Saccharomyces cerevisiae S288C: one gene and its partner. Changing the gene in region 2 together with the main gene of any one other region gives a genetic interaction. Each region holds a gene or a part of one and is shown on either strand. Other genes may lie near its edges. The genes, in order: SED1 and MNN9.

Region 1 (3,553 bases), on a different chromosome or scaffold from region 2:
ATCTTCCATAAATGTGCTGAAGTTTTTCACTGTGAACTCGAATAAAGTTTTCGTTATAGCAATAGATAATATCGACGAGTGGTTAAACTTGCACATCAACATAGTTGAGTAAGAGGTGAAGAAAAGTACACCGCTTCCGGTATATATCGCCTCCTGATTAAGAGATCAATGGAGAGCACATTAATAAGTTTGTATTAAAGAATTAAGAACTAAAAATAGTGTATATGATGATTATATAAGAATTATTAAACTACCCCTATTGCTTTTAGAAAACCCTGTCTTGAATGAGAGGATGTTTTACACGCAACGCGTAAGAAACATCTTTAAAGAGACTAGACATGAAACGATACTGCTCAGGGCAATTTAGGGGCTTTCCCACAAAGATGGTGGTATAACGGGGCTAGTCTGTCAAAAAGCCTAGAAGTGAAAAACGAATAACAAAAAAATAACATAATACTGAAAGAAAGCATTAAGAAGGCGGATGTGTCAAACACCACCGTTTATAAGAATAACATAGCAACACCAGCCAAACCTAAAGCACCTGGAACGACGACGTTAGCACCGTTACTGTTGATGACAACGGAATGAGAAGAAGCAGAGGATGAAACTGGGACGACTGTGGAGACGGTTAGACTTGGGTTGGCTGTGGTTTGTTTGGTAGTAACACCTGTTTCTTTGGTGGTAGTGCCCTTAGATTCGGTAACTGGGACAGAAGACTCAGGGGCTTCGCTCTTTTCAATAGTACATGGACAGTCAGTGATAGTCAAAGTGGTTGGTTCAGTGACGGTGTAAGTCTTACCGTTTGTGGTGAAAGTGGTTGGTTCTGGACAGTAAGTAGTGTACTCAGTGACTACAGTGTATTCGGTGGTTGATGTGGTTGTTGGCTTTTCAATGGTGCATGGACAGTCAGTGATAGTCAATGTGGTTGGTTCAGTGACGGTGTAAGTCTTACCGTTTGTGGTGAAAGTGGTTGGTTCTGGACAGTAAGTAGTATATTCAGTGACTACAGTGTAGTCAGTGGTGTAGTCAGTAGATGGGTTGTAAGGAGGAGTGGTGGTAGTGTTGCTTGGTGGCAAAGATGTAGTTGGTGGGAAAGCTGAAGTGGTACCGTTGGTTGGAAGACCGGTGGTTGGAGCTTCAGTAGTAGTATCAGTTGGAGCTTCAGTAGAAGTACCGTTAGTTGGAAGAGCGGTGGTTGGAGCTTCAGTAGTAGTATCAGTTGGAGCTTCAGTAGAGGTACCGTTAGTTGGGATAGCAGTGGTTGGAGCTTCAGTAGAGGTACCGTTAGTTGGGATAGCAGTGGTTGGAGCCTCTGTTGAGGTTTCAGTTGGTGCAGCTGTGCTGGTACCGTTGTCGGATTCTGGAGCTTCAGAAGATGTGATAGTTACTGAGCCAGAGGAAGTGGAGATGGAAGAGGAGGAAGTGACATCGGTGGAAGAAGCAGATGTACTGTTGGAAAATTGGGCCAAAGTAGTCGAGGCTAAACCGGCAGATAATAGGACAGTTGATAATTTCATCTTAATAGAGCGAACGTATTTTATTTTGCTTGTCTTTGTAGTTACGACTATAAATCAATAATTACAAGAGAATAGAAAAAGAGAGGTGAGATAATACGATAATGGAGAATAAAATAGGTCAGGTATTTATATGACAGTTCAAAAGAGGGCAGAGCAATGTTCCTTACTCTAGTTCTACCCCAGCCCCTACGGCCAATCTAAAAATAATGCGACTGGGAGCCATACCGTACTAATTCATTTTACCGTAGTAAAATGGATGAAAAACTGCTTAAAGGCTTTTTGTCTTATTTTTAGAAATTAGTGGACAAAAAATCATTTTCAATCAAAAATACACAAGAATGGAAAGAGATGACATCGAGAAGGGATGGATCTTTAGCCAAATAAAGTAATCAATGACCGTGTGTGCTCTGGCGCGCTGGGCCCTCTCCTCTTTCGTAATGAAAATATAATAACAATAACGGTTCTGATGGCTAATTTTAGCGATATATGCCTTTTTGTCCTCGAAAGAAGGCCGCATGACGTGGAGCAATCAGTGGTGTATGGAAGGTAGACCTCGGGGCTAAGCTTTCTCGGGGAGACGGTGCCGTCTGGGAGATAATTCCAACCAATATTACTGCTTTAGGTCATCCACCACGGGTAGTGTTGAGGATTACCTTTTTCGGTCTACGCAATATTATCCATTGACAGTTTGGCGTACCGTACAAAAAGCCGCTGCTGCAGGTTGTACTTCAACTTTAAGTCGCCGCGTTGCAAGTACATTGTGAAAAGATACTGCCTTACGTTAATTTTCTATATCCAATTGGGGAATATGCATGTCCGAATCTGGCAGATGCATGGATCGTTGAATAGTATTTCCAATTCCGTGTAAGCTGTTGCTTACATTAATCCTATAAGGGTAATGGGTGTGCTTGAGGGGATGTGTACATACCACTTTAGGTTCGAGCTGCATACCCCAATATGGAAAAACGTATTCACCTTAACTCCAACAGATTAAAATCCTAAATAGGTAAAATTACCCTTAACTTTTCTTTGTAGTTGTTGGGTGGAATGTTGTCGTTTTTCCATTTTTTATTGTTTTCGGTTTTCGGTTTTTTTATTTTACTATTAACCTTCACTATCATAAATTATCTCCTCCTTTCCCTCCGCATTTGGTAATGGATTATCATTGGAGTCAATATTGTTAAACACTTGTGAGCAACTGCTGCTGCTTGTTGATAATGTTGGAAATGAGGCAATATTAGCAGTATCAGGTTTCAGATCAATTATATCGCGGAGTTGACCTGTTGCTTTATCAAAATCAAATTTGACAATATAGTTACGATCGTCGCTGCTTCTTGACCGCTTTAAATTTCGTCCTTCTCTTTTTCTATCTTCGCCGTGTAAATTAAAAACAATAGCTATTCTCAAGTTTTCAAAGTTTCGTTTGTTTATTCTCATTTCTTTGATGGTAGTACATCCCTCGTTACTCTGCGAGGATGACGCCTTCACTCTTTTGCTTTTCACGAAAACGGTTTCGTCCACTTGTTCATTCCAATCCCTAAAAAGGCCGATCCTGTCTCTTAGAAATACTTCCCAAGTGGAATCCTTGCTTCCCATAGCGATATTGGCAACGAGCGCGCTTTTCAATATATGTACATTGTTCTTACGCCTTTCGTTGTTAGAGTTGACAAAGAAGTTAGATCCGTCGTCTAAAATTTCGTAGTATTCTTCCAAGGATTCGAATTCGTTTGATTGGAAGGCGGTGTTCATACAGTCATTTAAAACTATTATTGTCGAACCCGTGGAATGTGTGTATTTGGTCATTACCGTAAAAATTAATATCAAATGTCGACATTTTAACTCGTGTATAGTTTTATCTATCATTCCGCCGCCTCTTTTACTTAGTGTACACAGATGATCGCAGACTAATTGAGAAAATCCATCAATTATAACTAGTTTATATCGCACACTTTGAGATAATTTGAACAAATTCTGGAAGAAATATAATAGCTGTCCAAATTTCGTTATTCGGACCCGCTTCACATTTTCTTCCACGA
Region 2 (3,861 bases):
ACAATAATTGGAATAAAAAGGAACAATATTCAATTCTAATATTAGGTCTAGACAATGCAGGCAAAACGACGTTCTTGGAGACATTGAAAAAGGAATACTCTCTGGCGTTCAAAGCCTTGGAAAAGATACAGCCTACGGTAGGACAAAATGTGGCGACAATACCCGTTGACAGTAAACAGATCTTGAAGTTTTGGGATGTAGGTGGTCAAGAATCACTGAGATCAATGTGGTCCGAATACTATTCCCTATGTCATGGTATAATTTTCATTGTGGATAGTTCAGATAGAGAACGATTAGACGAATGTTCCACGACCCTACAGTCAGTTGTAATGGATGAAGAAATTGAAGGTGTACCCATCTTGATGCTGGCCAATAAACAAGATAGACAAGATAGAATGGAAGTACAAGATATAAAAGAAGTATTTAATAAGATTGCGGAACATATAAGCGCTAGAGATAGTAGGGTTTTACCAATAAGCGCATTGACTGGAGAAGGTGTTAAAGACGCTATAGAATGGATGATTGTTAGACTAGAAAGGAATAAAAAGTCAAGACCACCGATTTATAAATGATAAAGAAGCACCAAAAGAAATAAAATGTGAATGGTTTATTCTCAAGCTCAGAAATTAGTTGTTGTAGCACTTTTTATTCGGCATTTTTTAATATACATGTGTAAATTATATATATATATATATGAATATATATCTTGTTTTGTTTATTTTCAACTAATAATCGCAACAATATTATCTTTCAATAACGCTATAGCTTCTGTATGCTTTTTGCTCAGTTGCTCAATGGTTCTCTTCCTCTATGTGATAAACCAAATAGTTTGGTAAGCCAAATACATCGTAGTTTAATCTCTTCGCCATCTTAGCAAAACCTTCTGTTTCAATCAAGTGATAAAATGGGAAATTAGGGAACATGGCACCGTCTCTGTGAACTTCTGCTTTGACCAAAGTACAGCCTCCACCAACACCATCCAGCGCCATCTCTTCACCTGGTACGCCATTAGCATCGTAGAAATGAGCCATTAATGGCCTATAAGTGGCAATTTCTGCATAACCCTCGACAATAATCTCGTCATCACCCATCTGAGAGGCTATTTCTAAACCGGTGTCACTTTCTTGCCAGTTGTTGAAATCGTATGGTCTGATTGATGGTTGCTTCTTCTCTTCATCGTAAAATCTTTGATAAATGTTTGCAGCTAAGATAGCTTTGTTGTGTTTGGTCATGTCTTGAATTAAAGATGGTGGTGTCTCTATAATATCGGCATCTAGCCACAGCACCCAAGAAGTGTGAGGTCCTATGGTGGAGAATAGTAATTCATTGCGCGCCAAAGCCATTGCTGCACGTCTTTCCTTTTGAACATCTAAAGCGTGTCTTTCCTTCTCCATCAACTTATCAAAACTCTGGGAATTCTGTCGCAAAATAGTAATTTTACTAAATCTTTGAGTTTTCTTGTCCGTTTGAACCTTTTTAATAGCATTCTCCAATTTCTTTAAGGCCAAGTCACCAGTGGCTGTTCTTGGTGTAATGAACCCCAATTCAATCAATTCCCGAGGGTAATTTAGCTGCAGCAAATTGTCCCAGTATTGTTGATGAAATGTTTGCATTGGAGTCAATATCAAAATATGCTCCTTATTGACAGCTGCTTCTGACGTAGAGTGCAATTTGTTCAAATCATAATGTGCAATATGACCTTCTGGGATAATATCTTCCACGTGATCGTTGAACAACCAGCCGCTTTTTTTCTTATAAGAGTACTTTGGCATTTTGTATTTCTTGGTGAAGGGAAAATAAAATGTGTTTTCCTTTTCGTGTGCCCATTTGTGTTGGGAAATGGACTGGCCATTAAGTCCCAACAGAGATTGATCTCTCTGGAAAAAAATTATATATATTAGAAATATGGCCAAAACAGGTAGAAAAATGTTAACCCACGGGTTCTTTCTTAGGCGGTACGATACAAGAGAAAGTGACATTGTTTCCTAACTTTTTATTCTAGCTCTTTTAAATTCTTCTGTTTGAAAAATACTAAAATTGATGCTATTCTCTTCTTACTTTCACAAAGTGCGGAAGGAAAAATAGGTTCAGAAATAACGGGTCCCAAGAGCGGCTAACAGAAAATAATAAAAGCTTTTCTACCAATTGAGAATCCGCTTGGTTGACGACTTTTCCTCCTTTATTATTCTTGATTTGGTGTTCTGTTTTACTTATATCAAAATACTTCAACGCCAAATCCGCTACAACGATGGAAAGGAAAAAAAAAAAAAAAAAAAAAAGACAAACCAATGCTGTCGTGTCTAGTGACGATAAAGGCTGTAACTATTAATAAGGTGAATACTCACCCTCATCTTTTAGTTTATCAAACTTATATAAAAATTGTGTATGTACTGAATTGTCCTTGGTGTGCGAGTGAGAGTGTGTGTGTGAGTGCGTGTGTGAGTAGGTGAGTGTATGCGAGTGTATGTAAGTTTATAAGTGCCTGTGTGGCTACTATTTTCCGGTTCTGTGATGTGATGATGATTTTTTTGTCAGCTCCTTTGATTCATTCCATACTTTATTACATATGCTCATAAACATTTTCTTGTCTACATTGCTAGAGCTCAGGGGGAACTCGAAGGCAAAAATATGCGATGAGAGTCGGATTTCGCCTTGAAGAAGACTAGGTGATTGCTGCTGCGGCTGCGAGGTCCGCTGGAACGTAGTAAAAGTGGGAGTGGGGACCGCTCCGTCCTCGATGGCCAAGTCCGTACCCTCTTCTTCGTCTTTATTGGGTTCTGCCTCATGCCATGAACTCCTGTCCCGGTTTGTGCTTGTGCTTGTACTTGTGCTTGTGCTTGCGCTTCTGGCTTTCGTGTTGGCCGAGAGTAATGCATCCCGTTCAAAGTGGTATTCTTCAGCAGGTATCATATCTGCTGGGCGTAGATCCGCGCGCTGTTGCGTAGGACCGGCATTCGCACTTGATCCTACGCTAGAATTTCTTGAGCCTTCCTCGGATCGTCTGGTTTTCCCAGTGGAAGCGGTGCCACTCAAAGGCGAATCATATGAGTCGTTAACCCTCTTGTTTCTGTAATTGCTAGCACTATACTCATTTTCTTCGTAGGGCCTAGCGTTGCCACCTTGCATAGCATAAGGAATGGAGGTCCGCGGTCCCATTGGATATGGATACGACACGTAGGGTGTCATTATGGGCTTGTTCAGCATGTGAGGTGGAGGGATACCGTACGGATTATAATATGGTGACATTATGTAGCGATTCATGGGCATGTAAGGGTTCATGGCGCTCATGATGCCCGCCGAGGGCATGTGTGGTTTCCCATAACTATTGCTGCTATTATTCACTTGTATAGATTGTCTAGAACTGGCCTTTCCCAAGTATTGGACACGGGGCTGGAACTTGGAATGCTGAGTAACTTGTGCGGGCGCGCTTTTCACGTTTTGATTAGCAACAGGAGGAAAATGTGCAGAGTTAGACGAAGCCAAGTTGCCGTCCTTAATATTACCACCGTGTGTATTAGTGTTGCTATCCGATAAATTCAAAGGCGCCGGGACTCTGCCCCTCTTCAATGATTTCTTCGGATTCTTCAATGGTTGGGCTTTCCTCTTCTTCGCAGTGGCTGTCTCAGAATCCTCATGATCTGCTTCCTTGTCACCAGAGTCATCCTCCTCAGGGACATGCTCTAGCTCCGACTCCTGACCAACGCTGTTTCCGCCTGGCGAATTCTTAATGTTGCTATCGCTGCTGCCCTTAGCATTTGCTACACTGATTTCTGTATCACCAATTGGATCTTGTGTTGATTTAGCAATGGATGTATCCTCGGCAGTCGTTCTCAAACGGGCTGATACGGCCATTCTCACTTT

What was found.
Region 1: mutations in MNN9 (region 2) and SED1 are lethal when combined (synthetic lethality), as found in Saccharomyces cerevisiae (one study listed by BioGRID).

Annotation. Positions count from the first base shown.
Region 1 is NC_001136.10:598,757-602,309, reverse strand, and holds SED1 (Sed1p), read right to left. Parts: upstream 1,518-3,553; coding exon 501-1,517; downstream 1-500. Other genes in the region: SHU2 (Shu2p), read left to right, coding at 1-112; putative DNA-dependent ATPase RAD55, read right to left, coding at 2,622-3,553. UniProt on the Saccharomyces cerevisiae protein: Component of the cell wall. Major cell wall protein in stationary phase cells. Required to stabilize the cell wall in the absence of multiple GPI-anchored mannoproteins.
Region 2 is NC_001148.4:459,988-463,848, forward strand, and holds MNN9 (mannosyltransferase complex subunit MNN9), read right to left. Parts: upstream 1,980-3,861; coding exon 792-1,979; downstream 1-791. Other genes in the region: Arf family GTPase ARL3, read left to right, coding at 1-572; DIG1 (Dig1p), read right to left, coding at 2,494-3,852. UniProt on the Saccharomyces cerevisiae protein: The M-Pol I and M-Pol II complexes possess alpha-1,6-mannosyltransferase activity and are probably involved in the elongation of the mannan backbone of N-linked glycans on cell wall and periplasmic proteins.